Linked DNA regions of Struthio camelus. The protein of the gene in region 1 purifies or fractionates together with the protein of each later gene. This does not show direct contact. Links are inferred from orthologs where the notes say so. Each region holds a gene or a part of one and is shown on either strand. Other genes may lie near its edges.

What was found.
Region 2: the proteins of SLC30A4 (region 1) and METTL9 purify together in Homo sapiens (co-immunoprecipitation; 3 studies listed by BioGRID and IntAct, with this or other methods). This does not show direct contact. The link is inferred for Struthio camelus from reciprocal best matches to the Homo sapiens genes SLC30A4 and METTL9.
Region 3: the proteins of SLC30A4 (region 1) and C26H19orf25 purify together in Homo sapiens (affinity purification with mass spectrometry; 3 studies listed by BioGRID and IntAct, counting the BioPlex papers as one, with this or other methods). This does not show direct contact. The link is inferred for Struthio camelus from reciprocal best matches to the Homo sapiens genes SLC30A4 and C19orf25.

Annotation. Positions count from the first base shown.
Region 1 is NC_090953.1:12,652,003-12,659,350, forward strand, and holds the start of SLC30A4 (probable proton-coupled zinc antiporter SLC30A4), read left to right. Parts: upstream 1-4,330; coding exon 4,331-4,715; intron 4,716-7,348. UniProt on the Homo sapiens protein: Probable proton-coupled zinc ion antiporter mediating zinc import from cytoplasm potentially into the endocytic compartment. Controls zinc deposition in milk.
Region 2 is NC_090956.1:9,316,510-9,323,697, reverse strand, and holds the start of METTL9 (protein-L-histidine N-pros-methyltransferase), read left to right. Parts: upstream 1-4,178; 5' UTR 4,179-4,296; coding exon 4,297-4,470; intron 4,471-4,826; exon of another isoform or gene 4,827-5,087; intron 5,088-7,188. UniProt on the Homo sapiens protein: Protein-histidine N-methyltransferase that specifically catalyzes 1-methylhistidine (pros-methylhistidine) methylation of target proteins.
Region 3 is NC_090967.1:6,861,852-6,869,502, reverse strand, and holds the start of C26H19orf25 (UPF0449 protein C19orf25 homolog), read right to left. Parts: upstream 2,993-7,651; 5' UTR 2,965-2,992; intron 2,756-2,964; exon of another isoform or gene 2,651-2,755; intron 1,729-2,650; exon of another isoform or gene 1,656-1,728; 5' UTR 1,631-1,655; coding exon 1,471-1,630; intron 1,323-1,470; coding exon 1,126-1,322; 3' UTR 1-1,125. Other genes in the region: REEP6 (receptor expression-enhancing protein 6), read right to left, coding at 2,993-3,303, 3,605-3,773, 4,165-4,303, 4,675-4,768, 4,885-5,056.

The DNA of each region.
Region 1 (7,348 bases):
CATGACCATAACAAGATGGAAAAGCTTTACAAAATGATTCTGTTTAATGCATTACCTGAGCATTTCTGATCACGTTCCCTATGTTTTGACATTTTTGAAAGTTTCGGCATGACACTATTGCAGTTTTTGTGTCCATGGCATTTTTCACTCCCAGAGCTCTTGTTAACATTAAGCCAATTAACTGTTTATTAGCACAGCATAGGATTTTGTTTCTATTTCTTAATAGTACCATCTTAACCTGAAGAGTTCTGACTCAGGCTTTGTGTTTTTCATGACAGCAAAATCTTACAATATTTCTGCAAAATCACACACCTTCAAGATTAAATTAAATTCAGTTAGTCCCACTAGTGCTTTTCAGAAACAGAGACAAAAAATGGACTTCTGAGATACCTGTCATCCTTAAAAAAAATCGTCATTTTTACCTACAACACTGTTAAGAATTCACATATATTTTTCTTCATATATATTCTAATGAACGATTGACCACAATTATGTCACTGTTATGCCATCAAATTAAAAACTTACTTGTTTTTCTTTCTTTTTCTCTGCTTTTGCTTTAAAGGAGCACTATCAAAGGCCTGGTCTGACAACAGATTACAACAACAGGCACTTGCAACTAACTTAAACGGTCTTGAATCATATTCTTAATTAGAACTGGTTGGCAATTTAATTTACTGTTTCTTCTAATGGTAAAGAGTTGTCTTTCATGGAAAATTTCGGTGGGAAAGACTTCTCAGCTTCCAGATGGAGCTTCTAGTAAGAACAAGCAAGATAATCATTCTGCAAGACTCTCACTTGAGATGTGGGAGTTTCAGATTTCTGCTCCTGCTTTGCCTGTTCCAGGCCCTCCCACGTCTTACTGAAATAGGCTAACGATTGGAATATAACATTAGTATGTTTCTCTAGAGCAGTTAAAATTTAACTGTTTAACAAACCAGAAGCTCCCAAAAAGACATTGATAGAGACCCTCCCTTCTTCGTTTTCCTCTGCAAAATGATCTTTGTTTCGGAGAGAGCTGGGAACTCTCATAAGTAAAAGGGTTTGCGTGTGTGTGTCGGGTGCGATAACTATTTTCCATCCACCTTTATTCTTAATGTTATATACTTACATTTCCCTGCACAATGGTACACAGAACAGGCTGTTGGACTACACTTAGATAGCGACTAAGCTCTTACTCTTAGTTTATGGAGTCTCTAGGAATTTAGAGTAAAAAAACAGGTTATAAATGAAGAAAATTATTAATTTATAAACCATGTAAATTACATTATTGTGAAAAATGACTTACCTAGTTCATGATCCTGTGAAGGGTTAGGTAAGGATTCTTCTAAGGGGAACAGATGTTTTAAAAAGGAGGTTAAGTGAACCCTAGAATAAGGAACGTAAGCATTTGGTTAAACTAACAAAAAGCATACTTACCTGCTGGCCTAGATATTTAATTCCAAGGAGTTGTGCACAATCAGTACTAACATTACCACTATTAGGGTAATATACCATATAATACCATATAATATACCACTAAAAATGAGATATTTTGCAACAACAACCCCCTCTACATAATTCGTGGAGCCATACAATGGGACAGGCAGAAAATTATGCTGAGAAAAATTATGCTCTGTGTGATTAGCTGAATTGGCCTCATAGTCCCTACACAGCAGCAGAACTACTGAATGGAGACTATAAAAAACCTAGACTTGTTAGCAGATCTCTCTTCTGCCCACCCGTGGGCAACAGTGTTCTTGAATCTCGGTATTTAATATCCTCATACGTTTCCTTTCTTCCTCTCCTGTTCTCCTACACCCTCTGTTGAATTCGGCACTTCTTTGCCACTCCTAATCCTACAACAGTTCAACATTTCCTTTTTATCTCCAGATGCTTGTCCAAAGCTTGTACACAACTTTCTTGCAGAGGTTTTATCCTTCCAGCAAGATTGCAGGCTCATTTGCTAGAAAGCTGTTAAATGTCAGACTGCTAGCAATGCAAATGCTTATCTATTTGTCACTTCAGCAGCAAATAATCAAGCCTGCTTTTCATTTTGTATTGTGGCAACTGTGTTCAGAAACTTGTCATGCAACACGGTCAGCTACACATTCTGGATTTTATTGTTGTAACTGATTTAAGCAGTTACATACATAGCAAACCCTCCCCAAATAAAAATCTGAGTAGCAATAGGTTAGCCCGAGTTGTATAGCAAATAGTATGTTTTAAGCCATCAGCTTCGAAAATGCTGTATGACTTCAGGGACGACAATGTGAAATACTAATAGGTCACTTCTTCAACCACCACTGTGAGGGTGGTCAAACACTGGAACAGGCTGCCCAGAGAGGTTGTGGAGTCTCCATCCTTGGAGATACTCAAAACCCAACTGGACACGGTCCTGGACCGCCTGCTCCAGCTGCCCCTGCTTCAGCAGGGGGTTGGATCAGGTGATCTCCAGAGGTGCTTGGCATTGAGTCTGGGTGAGTTAAATCATCCAGGGAACAAAAACATTAAGAACGGTTGGACTGAAACATATCTAGGAGTGTTTTCTTAGGCAGAAAGGCTGGCTTAACAGGTTCCCAGCCTCGACTGCTCGTTCCTGCTTGCACACCGTTCACTGTCCCCTTGGTGGTCTTAGGCAAGTCTATGTAAGTTATGAACATGGAAATGGCCTCATTTATCCAAACACAAAAATTGCAGCTCCTCCCAGTATGCATTTGCTCATTCTGGCCATTTCTGTGACCTCATCTATAGTGTGGCCCCAAAGCAAGTGCAGCTGATGCTGCAGGCAGAGCGGGGTGAAAGGCCCGGGGGTGGCACCTCGTTAGCCACCAGAGGCAGAGCGACACGAAATTACATCCTCAGGACAACGGCCACATTATAAAGTGGCAAGCGAGCTCTGACAAAGCCTAATACTGTTTATTTTTGGACGACAACAGTAGGCAGTCTCCACCCAAGGCCAGCTTGCCTTGGGATGCCCCTGCTGCGGGTCGTGTCGGGGCGGCGCTCAGGCCGGGGTCTGCCGCTCCGGGCGCCTGACGCCGCGCCAACACCGCCGCTCTCAGCCCTGCGCAGCGAGCGAGCGCCTCGTGCCAAAATCTAGCAGTTTCATACGACTCCCCAGTCCTTTCTTGGTAACTTCCTTCGAGCAGGTTGCAAAACAGGATACGTTATTTTCCCGCAGGCAGGCCACGTTTCTCCTGAACGTTTATTCTCTTGGGAAAGTGGCTGGCACAGCAACAAAATCAGGCCGGGGGTACAAACCGGCCAGGAACACGTGCGGGCTGGAAAACAGAAGGAAGATTTTTAGCCATCACATCAGTGAGGAGGGGAATAAACCCTTAGCAGAATTAGTAAAGGCAAGAGTCTCATTTGTTTTAGGTTAGAGCGCGGTTATGAAAGGGATTATACAACGGCAGGGCCTTGGAGGGTATTTTTTGCGTCCTCCTACATCCTTTGAGGAATGTTAAGACAAAAGGGGCACGTGACTTCCCGCAGCCGACAAGGCAGCACCGGGGCAGCAATGACTGCAAACGGTGGGCAGCACCTTACCTTTTACAAGGAAAGAAGGGGTGGTGGTGGTGGTGGGGGGGAAGACAACTCCGAACTGCACGACGCGACCTTTCCACGCCTGAAGCCAGGACCCAGCAGCCCGCAGCGCGGGCGGGAGTCGCTTGTGCCCCCGCAGACCACATGTGAGCTTCGGGGCTTTACAGCCGAAGCCTCCACCCCACCCCGCACGCCGACACGAACACGAGGGGGCCGCCGGCACGGCCCTCTCCCGGCGGGCACGTTCAGCGGCCGCGGGGGCCCGCGGGGAGGGGGAAGGCGCCGCGGCCGGGCCCCGAACCCGCGGCCCGGCGGGCGGCGGCGCAGGCGCAGCGCGGCCCGGGGCCGCGGCAGCTGCGGGGCGGTGGCGGCTCGCGGCGGCGCGCAGGGGATGCCGGCTGCCGCCGCCGCCTCCCGGCCCGGCTCGGCCCGACCCGACCCGACCCGCTCGCTGCCGCGCTCGGCGGGCCCTGCCGGCCGGCAGCGCGGGGCGGGGCAGCGCGCAGGGATTTGCGCCGCCGCTGCCCGCGGAGATGCCCGACGCGCGCGGCTGAGCGCAGTGACGCGCATGGCGGCGGCGCTCCCCCTGCGCCGGCGGGGAGGCGGCCCTGCGCCCGGCGCCGCCTGACCGGGGCTCGGCGGGCTGACAGGCCGGCGGCAGGAGGGCCGGGGCGCCGCGCCGCGCCGCGCCGCTGAGCTCGGCGCCCGCGCTGGGGCCGGCGCCGGCTGCGGCATGTCGTGACGGGGCGGCGGCGCGGAAAGGTCGCCACCTGCGAGGGGCCGCGGAGCGCCGGGCGCCGCCGCGATGGCCGGCTCGGGCGTCTGGGCGAGCCTGCGGGCCCTGCTGCGGCGGCCCGAGGCGCCCTTGTTCCTCAACGACTCCAGTGCCTTCGACCTGTGCGACGAGGCGGCCGACGAGGACTTGCCGCGGTTCAACAAGCTGCGCGTGGTGGTGGCGGACGAGGCGGAGGAGGCGGCGCCGCCGCTCAACGGGGCGCCCGGGGCGCCGCCGTCCGACGACGAGTCGCTGCTGGAGCGGGACATCGCGCTGCGCAGCGCCCGGCCCGGCCGGCCCGAGGCCTGCGGCGGCTGCGCCCGGCGGCGGGAGGGCGCCCGGCTGGGCAGGGTGAAGAGGCGGCTGGGCCTGGCCGCCGCCCTCTACCTGCTCTTCATGGCGGGGGAGCTCGTGGGTGAGTTGGCGGCTCTGCGGCGCCGAGGCCCCTTCGTGGCGCTGCCCCGGCCCTGACGCGACGCGACGCGACGCGAGGGAAACGGCCGGTGCGGGGAGAGGTCGGAGGGGCGGGCGGCGCCTTCAGGGCCGGAGAAGGAGCGAAGTCCACGTGCCTTTGCCGTGCGAGGGAAGGGAGGGGGGTCGGCCAACTTTACTTACCCGAACCGGAGCAAGCCCCCAAAACGGCTTGCAGTACACACACACACGTTTAATATATCTAATGGCTTTTTCTTTCCCCCGTTTTGTAACTTTGTAAGCTGGTTTCTCACGAGGGGAAAAAGGCATGGTATCATGTAGGCATAAACAAATAGAAGAAGATGGATAACTTCATCCTTGGTATTTTTTAATTGCTGCCGTAAAATAGTGCTGTGTTTGCAACAGAAGGGGGGACGCGTAGCTTTTAAGGATGACACTTAACTACAGTAACAAAACTCTAGCGTTCTGGGGGTAAACCATCCAGCGTGATACGGTGTGGTGTGGTGTGGTATGGTGGTATTTACATCCTTAGATACAGCAATGCAGTGTTCTTTACAGCTGAAAAGACAAACTCTGAAGCTGTAAGTAATAACAATCCAGTAAAGAAACCCCTCTTTTGACAACTTGCTGGTTTCCTGCTGTGCTCCGTACTAGCACATGCTCCATAGAGATATTAATCAAACCCCTCGGTATTCTTAAGTGTTGTAATTAGAAGCTTTAAAACACCTATTGATTTAATTTACTTTGATCACATGATTTAATTCTTTTGCGGTTTTTGTTTGTTAGTACTTGGAAGAAGTATGTTGGGTTTTACCTGGAAGCTTGTTCCTATATAAGGATTCGATTGTTGGTTGGAAGAATAAATCTGGTGCTCAAGTTCAGCTTTTATTACTCCCTTATAAAGGCATGCTGTCACTAGCTATCCAGGCTCAAGAGAACCTGTACATGATACAGCAATTTGTATAAAATAAGACTGTACTTCATTTAATAGGCTATAGTGGCACTGAAATAAGCTCTGAAGTTAAATGTCCCTTGGATGTGTAGATGAGCTATTAAAAGTTAGGCCCTCCCCATTCTCTAATCATTTGTATTAAGCATAGCGTTCCTCTTATAACCCCTGTTCACTTATCAATTCGTTATCAGTGTCCTGTTACCATCTGTCTTCCGGGAACATGCCGGAAGTACCATGCCATGCCATGTAGTGCGTCCGCTTGGCGTTGCTCACCCTCCTGAAGAATGCATAAACTCTGTCATCCTCTCTCCCCTGATTGAAAGTAGTGGGGAGTGTTACATACTGCCAGTACATCATTATCAATCATTAGACATTCAGTTAGGTGGAGCCAGGTCTCACTAGCAACTGTGCCAATTAATTGCTTTTAAATTGTTTTCATTTGATCATACAAGTCTAAATTGGAGAATTTATTGGCCAAAATTTGCTAGAAAAAAAGTCACAAAAAAATTTCTGGAAGTAAGGAACAGATGCGCCACGCGTACAGTAACACATAGAACAGGGGACTTGCCTCCTCTTTCTCACGCATCCAAGCTTGGGTCAGTGACAACTGAAGATCTGATGACTGCTCTTGTGAAATGAGCTAGTGCTCTCACATCATTTGTTATGGATTGTATCTTTAAGACAGAAACTTCTACAGTATGGGTTAGGGCCAAAAACATGGTTTGAATATAAATAATACAATTTGTCCCACATACATGGGGAAAAAAAATCCTTGGGAGAAATGGTCTGTTTTTCTGAGATAGACCAGAGGATTGACTTTATCTGCATCATGGTTTTACTTGGGGCCTCATTTCAGGAAGATGGGGTAATGGAAAAGAGTGTTTTTTGTCTTCAAGATCTTCCTTTCAGTGTGTGGTTGGTTAATCATTAACAACACTTCCACAGTACATTATCTAATCATGGATAAGGCACTTAGCTTCAAACCTGTTACAGAGATCTGTTTGACTGCCTCTGTTGGCACCCCTCTGTCTCTGTTTTTTTCTGGCTGAGAAAATCTGGCTGATTTTGGTTCAGTGTGAACTCAGGCAAATTTGATAATGGATGTAGCATCTTATCTCAAGTGTAGACATCCTTTATCCTAAGGATGGTTTTATGTGACCGTGTTCGTATCGGAGTCCTGCTGTATGCTGAATTTAGTCTATCTGAAGGGCTGCTTACTGAACGGTATTCCTGAGCTCTTTGCAGCTTGATGCTGAAGTCACTGAGACTGCATCTGTTTGGGGGCTTCTGACTTGATTCACGCTATTGCATACCCCTCTGCAGCTAATATAGGGACAGCACTGGAAGTAATAGGCATTGAGAGTAAAAATATTCCCCCATCAGTGTTGCATCACCGTCGCTTCTCGCTTAAGGCCAGGACTTCGGCAAGCTCAGATCAGGATGATTGATTTGTCTGTACAAAGCATTAGTACTGTAGCATAGACTCATCGTCATCAGGTCTGCCTATGCTCTTACCAGCCCTGTTTCATTATTTGGGCACTGAGGCATAAAGCACTAAGGCCCAGACCCATAAAATATGTGTGCATCCAACTTCCACAGAAAATAAATACGAATTGCTTAGATAAATACTTTTGTGGATCTTGACCTGAATGGCTTGTCCTAGG
Region 2 (7,188 bases), on another chromosome or scaffold:
TTCTCTTGCTAAGAGGACAAGAAAAAAGCACCTTTCATCACAGCAAGGGTCAAACCAAAAGGGAGCTGGCAAACTGGTTAAATTCAGGCCGTAGTCTTAATCCAAGAATTAGCAATAGAAGATTGACAGTACGCTATGATTGACATCGCTTATTCTCCATTTCTCTGCCATCCACTAAACTTTGTTATCCTTTATTAAACCTACATGATTGTTTTTGGCCATGAATCAAGTAAATGATGATCAAATGCGAAAGTACAGTGTCTTGCAGCAGCTGGTTTGTCTGCCTTCACTCCCCATTAGCTAACAGTATCTGAGCTTGAAGTCTTCCTGCTGGAAAAATGCCACAATTTAATCTTGATAATTTAAGAGTGTCTAAAATAGCCTCATAATTGACAGAGAAGATTTAGATGTGTATAATATGAAACAGAAACATTATGATAACTTCACGGAGTTAGAAGCTTGATGCTTGAATCCCATTACTTCATAGAGTTTCCGTACAGGTTCTCAGAATTTAGATCTTAATACACTGAATGAATCTTATTTATTGGAAGTCAATAGGTAAAGGTGTCTGTTGGATTTAAAAGGATGTTATATAATAGACACGACAGAATGCTAGTCTAATCATAAAGTAGTAATATAATATGTGGTTAGTGATGGAGTGAAAACAGATCGAATAAAGGACAACAAAAGTATCGAATTTTAAGTAGGAAAGAATTAGATTTATATTTTGTGGAGGTTACAGTCCTGTCTCTGTTCTCTTCTTGTACAAAATGACCTTCCCAGTCTCCTGCTGTGCTGATTTTGGAACTGCTCAGTAATTCATGAATAATGCTATGTTGACATGGTTAGTAGGATGTTTACATTTGAATATAGTTGTATAGCTTAATGGGGGCTGTCAGGAAAGACAAAGCAGGAAGGGAAAGGAACAGTTAAGATAAGCCACATCTCCACAAATACTTAGGAGCTCTTTCTTACAGTATTATGTCAGCTCAGGAAAAAGCTTAATAACACATGCAATGAAAAAAAATTCTAGCAGATTTTATAAAGGAACATAGAGCTGAGACTGGGGGAGCTGTCAGGCGTTGTCTGAGAGAGCTGGATGATCGAACCCACAGGCACCAGGAGGCATGGGTGAAGAAAATGGGCTTCCTAGGTTACTTTGGGAAAGGGGATTTTAGGTAAGGTATCTGTGTTTGTTTAACTTAAAGCCCTCTTTCTGGTAATCATTTTCTTACTACTACTTAAATAACAAAAGCAAAGGTTGTTTTATTGCTCTGCTTGATTGGGAAGACTGCAGATTTACATCCTAGAATACATGAAGCTGTGGAGCTAGCTAGCTTGTGGAGCTGTGTGAATCCTGCTCCAGAAGACAAGGTTCCCTGTGATCACCACAAAGCGCACGCAATCGTCTTAAAAACACTCCTTTATAGGTAAGTATTCAAACCTTTGGATATGTTTTGGACCTTTTGGACCCTTGGTATTAAATAAAATATAGAATTTTCCCAACATGAAGAAGAGGTATCTAAAAAAATGAGGAGAAACAAGGAAGAAATACGATTATATTTTTTTTCTGCAAATCCTCCCCCAACCGTGCTAATTGCTTTGAATGATATATGCATACATTTATACAAAGAACAGTTTTCTGAGATTGTCCAACAATTGATACAGGTTATAATTCCATCAGCATATGTGCAAATGACAGTGCATCAAAATTATTGCCTAAATGTGCATGAATAGTACATTTTTTATAGCTTGTCAAGAGAAAAAATATGCTTAGTATACAACTACCAGAGTAGAATATTAATGACCAATGTAATACAGAGTAGGAACTTTGGAACATCTCATTAAAACATACCCAGGTTGTATAATAACAATACAGAGATGAAAACTAGCATATTTCTTAATTTATTCAGTATGCAACTCATTATCTGTATATTTCTTGTGATAACATTAAGATACATTTCCTTGTGAACCACATGCAACTAACCAGAGGCAATTTTATTTAGTGGTTTACACGTTGCAAGCAGATGTCTGTTTAAAAAGCAGCAAATTTTGCTTTGTCATTTTCAATTTTGATTATAAAGCTGTTTTATCCCGGGGGGGAAAATAAGCTAATCTGTCTTTACAAACAAGAAGATACATAGAAAGGAAAGTCCTGATCCTAAACCAAATAAGTAGTAGTAGACCGAAAAGGCATCTTGCCCGTCTAGCTAGTGGAGAAAAATGAATCTTTGTCTGGAAAAGTGTCCAAAGCTCTCACATCAAAAACTCTCCTTAAGGAGGCTGAACATCAGTGAAAATAAACTGAACAGAAAAAATCCTCTGGCAGTATTTTGTCGTTGCTCTGGTTTTCTTATTTCCCAAGCTAACCAAGGTTGGATTTTATTAGTGCTTGATCAGAGGATCTTCCCGGTAGAAGTCAGGATCCTTGTGGTGGTTTGACTTTGTGTCATCCTTACCAGGAAAATAAGGGGCTAGGCTCCAGCCTTTCAAATCTGATCAAAAGGAAAGATGCCAATTGCTTGTGTTCATTAGGAAAAAAATGTCTGAGAGACTAGAGACGATAGCCCTGATGCCGTACTCAGCTGGAATTTGATTAATGAGATGGGCTTTGTCTAGGTTTTCTTTCTTTCAGTTGGATGTGGTATTCCTCACTTTCCGTGCTACTACCATGAGTAACCTGCGTTTATTAGAGAGTAATTGGGCACAGTGATATAAAACCTAACCCAAACCCACAGAAACTAATGCTCTTGTCCTAACAAAGGCATAAGCTACTGTATTAAATGCCAGAAGGCTTTTATCCAGCTTGACCTGTCCCAGATTAAGATGTTTTGATAAGCGTTGTCTGTTCCAGGCTGTTCTGCCGGGGGTATTAGCTGCATTCAGCACGCGTTTTCCTCCGCTGGTCTCCGCTGTGCCCCCACGCTCCCAGGCACACAACCACGCGGGAGCCTGACTCTCAAGTTCCCGTTTTCCTACCTACGCACTGACTTCTCCTTCCTCTGCATGGATACCCCACCGCTTCAGGAAGACGTTCAGGAACCAAGCTGACCTCAGATCCGTCTGCTCTAAACACTAACTGTGCTCCTGCCGCAGAACCAAGGCTGCAAATTTGAGAGACCTTTTTAGGTCAAAACATTGCAAGAATCCCACGCTAGCAGCAACGGTTTGCTTCGAGCCATTGCAAAATAGTTACAAGAAAAAAATGCAGTGTTTGAGGACTTGAAGCCAGATTTCGTATCAAAAGACGTGTAGGCTTCCATTTGTACGCAGAAGCGCCTGTCAAAGAGCCGACTCCGTAACGACCAATTTATCTTTAAGCGCTTATGTTTGGGGCTGTGCACACATCTCGACGCCTCAGTGCTGGCCGACCTTAGTGCTGCGCCTACCAGAAGAAGGGAATGGAAACAAAACAACAGGTAAAGCACCGCTTCCATCCATACTACTGCAGCGGCCAGGCGTTTCTCAAACTGAGGCCCTAATCCCAACGCTTTACACCTTAATGAGGGCAACGAGGGGCAGAAAGCCCAGCGCGCCAGGCGCTGGGGGAAACCGCCGCTCCCCAACGGCGCGCCGCCCTAGGCGGCAGCTCGTCCTCCCTTGGAAACTCCCCCCCCCCCCCCCCGGTTAAAGGAAAGCGGGAGCGGGCGCCCCGGGGAGGCCGCGCCGTTTGGGCTCTTCCGCCCCGAGGAGGCGACGCGCCGCAGAGCGGCCGCGCTGGGGCCGCCCGGGCCTCGTGTGGCGACGGCGCCGCCTCGCGCCCCTCCCCCACCCCCGCTCTGCGCAGGCGCGGGAGGAGAGGAGAGGGGAGGGCGGCACGCGCCCGCCAGCCGCCGCCCGGGCGACGGGGCGGGGCGGCGCCGAGCACGTGCGCGGCAGGGGGGCGGCCGGCGCCCGCCTCCGCTGAGGGGAGGAGCGCGCGCGCGCCGCTCCTGCCGGCGATGCCCGGAGGGGAGGGACGAGCCGCCGCCGCTGCCGCCATTGTACCCCGCTCCGGTTTGAAAGCGGCGGCCCCTGCCGCGCCGCGGCCCCGCCCGCGCTGTGATTGGCGAGCCAGAGGGAGGCAGCCGGCGCGTGCCAGGCCCCCGGCGTGTCGCAGCCGAGCCGTCCGGGCGGCCCGCGCTGCCGCGGCGCCCCGCGTTCCGCCCCGCGCCTGTGCGCGGGCCCCGAAGGGGAGCCGGGCCGGGCCGAGCCGAGCGCGGCGGGTCGCGTGCTGCTGGCGCCGCCGCCGCCGCCGCCATGGCGAGGGGAGGCGGCGGCAGCGGGAGGGGGTGACCGCGCGCCCCTGCCCCCCTCATGAGACTGTGGCTGGGCTGGCTGGGCTGCTACACGCTGCTGCTGTGGGCGCTGCGGAGGAGGATGTGGTCTGGCCCCGCCAGGTACCTGCGGAGCCCTTTATCCAGGTCCCTCTACGCCAACATGATGGGCAGCCACAGCCCGCCGGCGCCGGGCACCAGCGAGAGCCACCAGGTACCAGCGGGGGCGGCGGCCGGGGGCCGGGCGGGCTCCTGAGGCGGCGGCGGCGGCGGCGGGGCGGGCAGCGCCAGACAAAGGGAGGGTCCCGCTGCGCCCGCCCCGCCGCCGAGCCGGGGGTGCGCCGGGGGCCGCGGCGGCGGCGGAGCCCCCCCTCCCGGCGGGGCGAGCCCGGCGGCCGCGGCTGCGAGCCGGGTGTCAAACCCGGCCGGCGAGAGCGGCGGCAGCACCCGCCCCTGGCGGTCCCGTGTCGTGTCCCCCCCCCGCGCCGGGAGCTGCCTGAGTAACCGGCGGCCGGAGGACGCGCAGGTGGCGGGGGCGGGGTGGGGCCGCAGCCGCGTTTGGGTTCGTACCGGGGCGTCTGGAGACAAACAGCCCGAAACAGCGGCGAGGAGGGAAGCTGCAAAGCCGGCCGAGGCCTTGAACTGCCGGTAGCGGAAGGCGAGCTGGAAACGGAGGTGGCGATGTGATCCGGCGGCGAGAAAGGGCGAGCGGAGCTGTTGGGCGGCGCAGGCGGCGAGCAGCACCGCCCGCGGGGCCCTGGGGCCCGGCCCGGCCCCGGTGCTGGGACGCGCTCGGGCCCGGGCTGCGCTCCTGAAAACCCGGCGGCGCTTGAGAAGCGCTGGTCATGACCGCTGCAGCGCCGAAGGAAGGGGCTGACTTATTCTAAGGAAAATCCGCATAGCCCAGCTAACGAAGAAGACGTAACCCGAAATACTCGAGGGATGCTGACAAAAGGAAGGACGTGATTATACGCTGTAACTCTTCGAGCTGATGCGTTACTGTTTTAGCTTTGTTAGTGCTCAAGGTGGGTGCTAACACCGGGGATCTTGCTGCTGAGCGAATAGATTACTGCTGTTTGGATCGTTCGGTACGTAAAGGGGAGGATGGAAGCAGAATTTAGCTTTCCAGCGCAAACTTTCTTCCTGCGAACAAAGAAAACGTGCAGTTCTTTTCTGTTGTTAAAAACTGTACTAGAAAGACGAGGAGATAAGAACACGGGCCACGGAGGTGATTATTTCATTCACAGGTAGATAGATGGTCTGCAGTGGATAGTCTCCATCTCTAATGTATAGGATCTGGGTTTTAAACTTCAAGTATTGATTGTTTAGTGAGTTCTTAAAGATCGGTTACCGAGTTTGTGGGGTTACCCTCAGAAGTAAGGGTTGCATGTTGACCCGCAGGTACTTTCACTCTCTGAAGTTTTACTGAGTTCCTCAGTTTTACATTAGTTAACGGAAATGGTATTTTCTTCCTTTCATTAATATTAGGCAAGAGTTGCCAATAATAATTTTTATTATAACAAAGGTCTTCACAAATTTCTCTTCAGATTTCTTTGATGCGCTGTAGTATTTCTACTATTGTGCTATACCAGATTGGTACAGATTGATGTTGTGAGACTAGTGGCCTGAAAAGGGCTCCTTGCATTTTGGACAAGGAGAAAAACAAAAGGAATTTCTGTTTTGAGGAAGTAGTTCCAGAACGAAGCTTTCTTTCCTTACTTTTGTTATTTGAAATTTGTATTGTTTTTATCCTGGGCACTTTTTGCTTATAGTTTCCTGATATTTCTAATACTCACTAGCGTTATATCGGCAGTTATAAACGTTTTAACCGATAACCTTATGCAAGGTAAGCTTTAACTATGAAGAAGGAGGAGGAGGGCTATGAGCAATCCCTAATTTCTGGAAATATGCTTCCCTTCTCAAAGGGGCTCCTCTTCTCAAAGTTGCCACCATCATCATTCTTCCAGTGGTTATATCAATATATATCAATATTTGGAAATCTTGAAGACAAAAGACTGTTGGTTTCCATGGCTTCCATGGCTGGATCCTGGAACTACAGATGATGAGATTCAGTGCAGAACCAAGGTTTATGAATAAGCTCAGGGACAGCACATACGTAGTCACGTTACTTACGGATCAAAGCCCGTGATTCCCAAACTTCTGATGCTTTATACACCACCTTCTGGATTGAAAATGGCAGCGCAAGGTAGATGTTCTGAGCCACTCCAAGCCTGTGCAGTGCAGCTAGGCAGCAGCCTCATGAACAGCTGCTGAACCTGACCCATATCCCAGCCTGCTCCTCAGCTCCCTGGGATTGTTCACTTCTGCCAGACTTTTGAAATTGGTTTCCAGAGCTGGATGGACAAAACATGCAGGCTGCTGCTTTGGTGCTTTTTCACAATTCGCTGACAATTCCTTTTGGGAATCACTGGTCTGTGCTGGTTCACTCACTTCATACTGTGCTGCCGCGAGAGAAGACCCAAACTGGTAAATGGGCTGTCATGGGGATCCTTGTGCCATGCTGCGTCGTGTGATACAGACTTGCTCAAAGTCTAGTTTTTAGAGGGATGGATCATCTACTCGTGCTACCTACAAATGCTGTTGGGAAGCACTGTTTGAGAGCCCAGTTCTGCAGGGAGGTACGCAACGTGCAAGTTTTCGAAATAGACCTGTGCAGGCATATATTTGCTCCCTTGGCTGAAGGGTATGGAAATACCTTGTTACTTTGGGGTCTGTGTCTGATGGAGCTGCTGTTTATCAATCTGGCACAATGATCTTGTTGCAGCTGTCTACTCCCCTCTGTTTGTTGGCACTGTTACTGTGAAGCAGCAGGATACTGGAATACGAATCCTGTACTGTTGTTATTTGTATTACAGTAGTGACCAGCAGTCCCATTGTGCTGAACATGGTGTAAACATGCATTAAGTGACTT
Region 3 (7,651 bases), on another chromosome or scaffold:
CAACTCCTGCTTTGGCAAGGAACCACCAGCCCATCACTGTCCCCGGCCACACGTAGCTCTCTCAGCTCTTTGCTTGGGCTGCTCTGGAGGAACACGCACACCGTGTTTTCCTTGCCCCTGACTGAGGTTTTCTCAGGCTGTCCACAAGCCTCTTGTAGAAGAAGACATTTTCATATTCCAGTTCATTAAGGTGCTGTAGAAACATGGGCACTTCATCTTTCTTTATGCCCACACAAACAGGGATGATCTTAGTCCCACTCTCATGAATGCTGTGATGCAGGTTCCACTCGGAGACACGCTGGCACCAAGGGTCACCCAGGGACCTGGCGGACAGGAGGAGGATGGCAACTCGGCTGGCCTGAATGACCTTGGTGGCTGTCAGGACGATGGACGTCCCCGCCACTTGGTCCTGATGCTCTGCATAGCCCTGAAACCCCTCTCGCTTCAAGGCTGCCAAGATGTCTGAGGCGATGCTGTCGTCCTCAGGGCAGTACCAGATGGAGAAGTCATAGGTGAACCGGTGGTGCGAGGACGCAGACATGCCACTTACCAAAGGGCAATGGCACTGAGTTCACAGAAACAACAAAGCAAACAAGCTCCGAGCGTGGCCTCCTGCACCCGGGCTGAGCCAGTCTTCCTGCTAGGAACCTGCTACTGCGTCCTCATGACGGATCCAAGGGCCAGCTCCCAGGATCCCTCCCTGGCATGAGCAGCGAGATCACTACCACTCCCCGGGGAGAGGTCAGGCTGCCAACGCGGCACAGCCCTTAGCTTCAGAAACGATTCTGTGGCCCCTCGCAGGCCCGATGAGGCAAGACAAGCCAGCGAAGCCGCATTCGCACAGCCTGCAGGGCCTCTGGGGTCACAGGGAAGAAGCAGCAATGTCAGTTCTAGTAAATCAAACACAAATGATGCTGCTTCTGTAGTAGCTTTCAGTGACTTAGGAATATGCAAACACAGTCTCAAGGGACGCCCTCAGGGCGCCTGTTGCAGGCTGGCCCACACCAAAGCCCTCTGCGATGAGAGCAGAGGAGTCTCGAGTGCCAAGGACCTGCGTTAGCTTTTCAAATCAAGTATGAGTCCGTGCTCCCAGCTGCCTCAGCTGTTCAAGGGAGGCAAGGGGTCTCAGAAAGCTTTTTGCCTCATTTCCAAGATATCCTGCTCCAAAGTCGCTCCCACCCGTCTCAGCTCCTCACATTTCTCCTTCAGCAGCTGGCAGGACTCCTGCAGCTGCTGGTTCATCTCAACGTAGGAACGGCTCTGCCGATACAAGCGCTCTCTTTCATCGGCAGCGTCCTCATGCTTCACGGGTGCGGGGAAATCTGGCAGGGTGGGAGAGGCGGCTCAGCGGATGCCGGCAGAGCGCCCCGTCCCTCTCGCCCCCGTCGCGCCCCACGGCCCTGACGGCCGCAGAGCAGACAGGTTTCTGCCGAGCCCGGGAGGACTCGTGGCGGGACCACGCGGGCTCACCTGGCGAGGGGCTGCCATCATGCCCACCTCCTCTGTGCGGCTCCGCGGCGAGCACGAAGACAGGGTCGGATGGGTGGGTGCCCTTCACGTCCGCCAGGATCTGCTCCACGGTGGGCGGCTCAGGCCGGGTGGGCAGCACCCTCTTGGCCTTGGAGCTCATCACGGGACAGGCTCATGCACAGAGCCTGGCGCAGAGGGCGCAGGGCTGACGGGGGCCGTGCCACTGCCGCTCCCCCGGACAGCCGGACCCCCCCCTCACTGCCGTTTGGACAGACATACGGACCATCCCTGCAATCTGTCCCTGGGACAGACAGATCCCCTGCCCTGGGACGGACAGACAGACAGACCTCCCCCCCCAACTGTCCCGGGCAACCAGGCTCCCCCCTCACTACCTGTACCCACTACAGACAGACCGCCTCCCCCCTTGCTGCTCCTCCAGACAGAGAGCCCCCCTCGCTGCCCTGGGATAGACAGACGCCCCTTGCTGTGCCCCTGGACAGACAAACTGCCTTTGGGATGAACAGCCCCCCTCCTCCCACCCCCAGACTGACAAATCGAGCTCCCTCATCCCCCCTCCCCCCCCGGGGACAGACAGGTCCTCCCATTGTTCCTCCAGACAGACAGATTGCGCACCATTGCCCCCCTGCCCCCCCCAGGACAGACAGACAGACACTCCCCCACTGCCCTCGGGGCAGGCAGACGCCCCTTGTACTGCCCCCCCCAGGACAGACAGACAGACCCCCCCACTGCCCTCGGGGCAGACAGACGCCCCCTGTACTGCCCCCCCCCAGGACAGACAGACAGACCCCCCCACTGCCCTCGGGGCAGGCAGACGCCCCCTGTACTGCCCCCCCCCAGGACAGACAGACAGACCCCCCCACTGCCCTCGGGGCAGGCAGACGCCCCCTGCACTGCCCCCCCCCAGAACAGACAGACAGACCCCCCCAGTGCCCTCGGGGCAGGCAGACGCCCCCTGCACTGCCCCCCCCCAGGACAGACAGACAGACCCCCCCACTGCCCTCGGGGCAGGCAGACAGACGCACGCCCCCCCCAGCCCCTCCAGGCAGACAGACTGACCTCCCATCACCTCAGGACAGACAGACAGACAGACCGACCCCCCCCTCCCCCCCGCGATACGGTCCTTTCACACGCAGGCCCGCCGCCCCAGACATCCCCTTACCCCGACCGGCCGCCGCCTCCCGGCCACCGTAGCGCCAGCGCCGCACGCGCCTCCTCCTCCTCCTCCCTCCCGCCCTCTTAGGACCACGTGACGGCGACGTCACCGCCCGCCGGGCCCCGCCCCCTGCTAAAGGACCGTGCGCGGCGGCGCGTTGCCATGGCGACGCCTCCCTCCCTCCGGGAAGGGGGAGCAGGGAGCACACGGGAGCGGCGGTTGGGGGCGCCGCGGCCCCGGGGCTTTATTACATGGGGGGGGGGGGGGCTCCTCCCTCCCCCCTCCCTCGCGACCGGAACCGGAAGCGGAAGCGGCCTCACTGGTCGCGCGGCGGCTCCGGCGCCGGCCTCATCGCTGCTCTGGCGGCTGCGGGGGCGAGAGAGGCGGCGCCGGCGTCACCCCCGGTTCGGCCCCAACGGGCGGCACCGGGGTGGTGGTGGGGGGGGGGAAGCGGAGGCGAGGGCCGAGAAACGGGGGGACGTCTGCGCTACGGGCGGGGCTGGCTAGGGAGAAGCGGGGGGGAGACGGGCCGGGCCGGGCGGCCCCTTGTCCCGGCAGCGGGGGGGACCTGCGGCTCTTACATACGGAGGAGCTGAGCTGTGGCTGAGGGGCCACCTCGGCCGCCAGGCGGGCTCTGCTGCTGACCAGAGTCTGCAGGACTGGACGGGGAGGCGCAAAAAGAAGGAGAGAGAGATTTAAAAGAGGAGGAGAGCGAGCCTCCGGCTCGGTGTGGACGGGGCGGTGGGCGGCCGAGGGCACAGCCCGCGGCGTGACGGGGAGACGCTCCTCTTGCTGGTGCTACGCGTCAGAGCAGCCCGCGTCCCACCGGGGTCCTGCTCAGCCCTCACGTCCCAAAACGCGTCCCTGAGGTCGCTCAGGGCGAACGCCCCGCTCTGTCCAGCCCCGGACACGGAGCCGGACGGTGAGGGCCGGGAGCAGGAGGCAAGGGACCCACGTTACCTTCTCGGGTGACGATGGAAGCCGCGTCCAGGGCTCTGGTGCTGAGGTTGCCGAGCACGTTGTCCACAGCCTGGTGGTGTTTGAGGAAGCAGGGCCGGATGACGTTCTGGTACAGCACCTGCGACCCGTTCCAGGACACGGGGGCCATGCACCATACCAGGAATAGGCACTACAAGGAGGAGAGACACTCCAGAACTGGAAGACCGAGGCTGGGAGGGGAGGCAGGGCATGCAGGAGCTGAGCTAGGCAGCCTCCAGAAGGAGGGAAGTTATGGGGCAGTGGCTGAGGTGCTCCACCCTCGTCCAGCCTGGCTCTGCTCCTGTCCAAAGGCAGCTTCCCAGGGCTGGAGGTACCAGGGCCATGGCTGACTGCAGTGAGCTCTGCAGGGGACAGTCCTGAGCAGGACAGCGGTCTCCCACTAAGCTACACCTGGCTGCCGCCACCACCACAACTGCCCTGCTATGGGGTCAGAGCCCATCACACGTTTTCCTGTAGGTTCAGCCATCGTGTGAGTGGGCTCCAGCCTGTGCAGGCCCTTGCTCCCACTGCGGAGCTGTTACCTTCCCAGCGTAGTAGAATGGGAACCAGTAGAGGAAGGTGTCAGAGAAGAACTCGGCTATGCTGAAGACGCCGTACACCACCCAGTATGTGAGCCACGTGGTGTCATCCTCCTTGTTGGAGCTCTCAATGGCTTTGATGCTGCGGGAAGAAGAGGGGATAGGTCATGGCTTCTTCAGTCCTGTTTCCAGGATGGGCATGTCTTCCCCAGTCCTCCAACTTTGGAGCAAACCTGGCTACCAGGCTCCGCTGCCCCAAGTTGAGACCTTGCCAGGCCCCAGGGTTTTCAAAATATTTGTCTTCAAGAGCCCTTGTTTCCTCGGGAGCTTCCTGATCATAACCACCATCCGGGGGTGTTCATTTACCAGAGATACCTGGTCCCTCAGCTAAGGCAGGGAACGCTCTTCAGCATGAGCACTTGATATTTAACATGCCGTTGGCAGCTCAGTAACAAGCTGGGCTGCCCAGCAGCAGATGCTGCAGGGAGGCCGGGCCAAGGCACCGGTACTTACGAGACATATGCAGGGTAGACAAAGCCAATGAGGTTGCAGAGCAGCGCTGCGCCATAGCCGAACGCGAGGTACAGCCCCAGGAACGCGACAGACCCTGGGCCGGGGGGAGACAGTGAGAGTCATGTATTTGCCAACATGGAGGTTGCCAGGAGAGACTTCCAGGCAGCAGCTCAGTTGAGCAGGTTTCTCATCCCAGCAGTGGGAATTCACCGTGCAGATCCTGCCGGCTGCTGCAGGCGGCCGACATCTGCTCCCCCTCAGCCTCCAGCTGGAGGCGGCACAAGGCAGCCCCGTGGTGCTCCAGCACGGCTATGGGAGCTAGCGAGTGTCCGGAGCAGAGGTACGAGTGCTGGGGACCTCCAGATGGGGAAGGGGTGTGCATGGTAACAGCCACTCCATGTTTATTTAAAAGGACCCTCCATGTATCAGGCTGCTGAGGTGCTCAACATGCACCTGGAGCAGCTGCGCTGATACCACGGACAGCCTGGCTCAGCCTGTCCCGGGGTAAAGGTGCTCCCTCTCCCAAGAGGATATGCACACACACCCTTGGACTCTGCCAGGCACGGACGGCACCAGAGATGCCCAGGCACAAGCTCCTGAGGAAGGAAGTTCTGGTTCTGCCACTGTTTGTCCCCTCTTTGAGCCGGAAGGGACTTTTCTGTAGCAAACTTGGAGGACTTTTGACACAGAGCAGGCCTGGACCTGGGCCAGTGCTGCAAAGGGGCTGAATAGCAGAGGCTTTAACACTCACACCTACAGTCCAAAGGTAAGGGACTTCACAGAGCAATCGCGCTCCTCCAAACACCTCCTCAGCAGCTGGCACGGTCTGCGTGCCGCGGAGTTCAGAGCCGCTCAGCATTTTGATAACCCGGACAACTCTACAAGGGCAAGCTGTGCTATCGGAGCCAAGAGCTCCGATACCAGCCCTGCTCCGGGAGGAGGGGAGCAGCCTGCAGCCAGCTGCGTGGGGGAGACGTGCCCGGCTGCGACGGGGCTGTGCAGGACGAGCTCTATCCTCCCCGCAGCTCTCCTCGTGGGAGCGGCAGGGAGCCTACACCAGATCTGTAGTCCCCCGAGCCCTGAGAGCGCACTCAAAGCTGCCCCCCTCCCTGTGTTCAGGGCACGCATCTCCTTCCTGCCTTCTGTACGCATCCCCTGGATGCGCTTGTGCTGAGCAGTCACCGTTCGTTAAGAATTCAGCCCCCTGAGAACAGCAATCCAAACCCGCTTTCCTGTTATTAAATTAAATCATTAAATTAAATGTAATCCAAAGCTTTGGTTGTTTGGAATCTCCCCAGCCTCAGAGGCTGGCGGGAAGCAAGATCGGAGAGCTGGGAGAATCTGCAAGAGCCCCGATGCTTGGGAGGGTGGGAGCCCGAAAAAGCAGCCCTTGCTGCCAAAACCAGTGCTGCAGCAAAGAGCCGTCGTTCGCATGCTGGACCCCTCTCCTGGCGCGCGGGGCAGCGAGGCGCTGGCACTGAACACGTCCCTTCCAGCCCAGCTGCACCCCGGCCACACAGACACCTGCCTGAGGCAGCCAAAAGCAGACCCCGAAGGGACAGAGGGCAGAAAAGCAACCCTGGCCCACGCAGAGCTAAAGGAAGGACGATCACTGTCACATCCCAGCAGCGTCACTGCTATTGCGCGCCCTGTTCATGACACCTCTACATGTGCAAAAGCCTCTTATTCTGCAGCTCGCAGGAAAGCCAAGGCTTAAGCCCACCTGTGATGGGAATTAGAGGAAAGCCTTTGCTCAGGCATGAAGGACGGATTATCCCAGATTTGCTCACAGCAGCATTTCTTCTCCTTTCCCTGGCTCCCAGCACCAAGGTGGCTTTGGGTCTTTCCAAAGAGACAGGCAGGAGCAACACCATTTTCTTGCAGTTTGCATGGAGTGATCACAAGCTTCCCTCAAAGGAAAACTAACAGGGAGGTTCAGATAGCTCTGGGTTTCATTCTCTGAAGAGCCCTAGAACAGATTTTATGGGCTGCCTAAGTTTAGTCCCTGGAGAAATTTATATAAAAAGGAAAGAGACTTAGTGTATAAAGAAAAGCCTTGTGCTTCAGGAGGGAGGAAGCAGACACGTGCGAGTCCTGCTTCTCATCCCCTCCACCAACGTGTCTCCTGCCCGACCGCTGCACTCCCTTTCTGCTCCCCGTGGCCTCGCCAACCCCGCTCGGCCCTCCGTGGGTCTCACCTCACGCAGCCAGGGACTCGCACGCGTTTCTCCCGCTCCAGCTCCCCTCCCTCCCCAAAGCGTTTTGCACAGGTCGGCGTGAGACCCACATCCTCCTCAGGCAGCAGACGCCGTCAATTCTCACCCTCCAGCAGCACTCAAACCCTGGCCTCAGGGCTGATGCACAAAATCCCCCACGGAGACCCAGCTCTGTCTCCTTACAGAGGAGGAGGATTTGGAAGAAATCTAATTGACAAAAATAGCATTTAAAAAGAGCGCGAGGTTTTGCTGACACAGCACATTGGGAGCGGGATATCATCCTTGTCCAGCACAACTTTTACCCAGCTCAAGCTGAGGTACAGCTTGCCCAGAGCCTCTGCACGGCAGCACCTGGGTCGTTAATGGTTCAAAACATGCAAGACGGACGCTGCTGGTTTAAAACACAAATTAGTAACTGCTCCAAGCCCAGGCAAGAGGAGAAAAGAAATCTGATATCTGTTGTTTAGTCACAGCCTGTCCTTTCACAGGACTGAGACGCGAGAAGACAGGTATTAGCTCCTCGGTGTAAGTGATGCCTCTGTGCTTTTCCTACTAACAAAAGCACATCATACAAATGCTTCTGAGCACAACCAGAGCCCCAGGACTTTCTGCCTGGAAGACACCTGAGCATCAAGCATCACTTCCAAGCACAACCTGCTTGGAGAATGCAACCAGCACATGCCCATTCATGCACGTGCTTCCCCAAACGAAGTGGAAAAACGAGCTTTACAGCAGGGAAAGAGCCACAAAATCACAAGGTG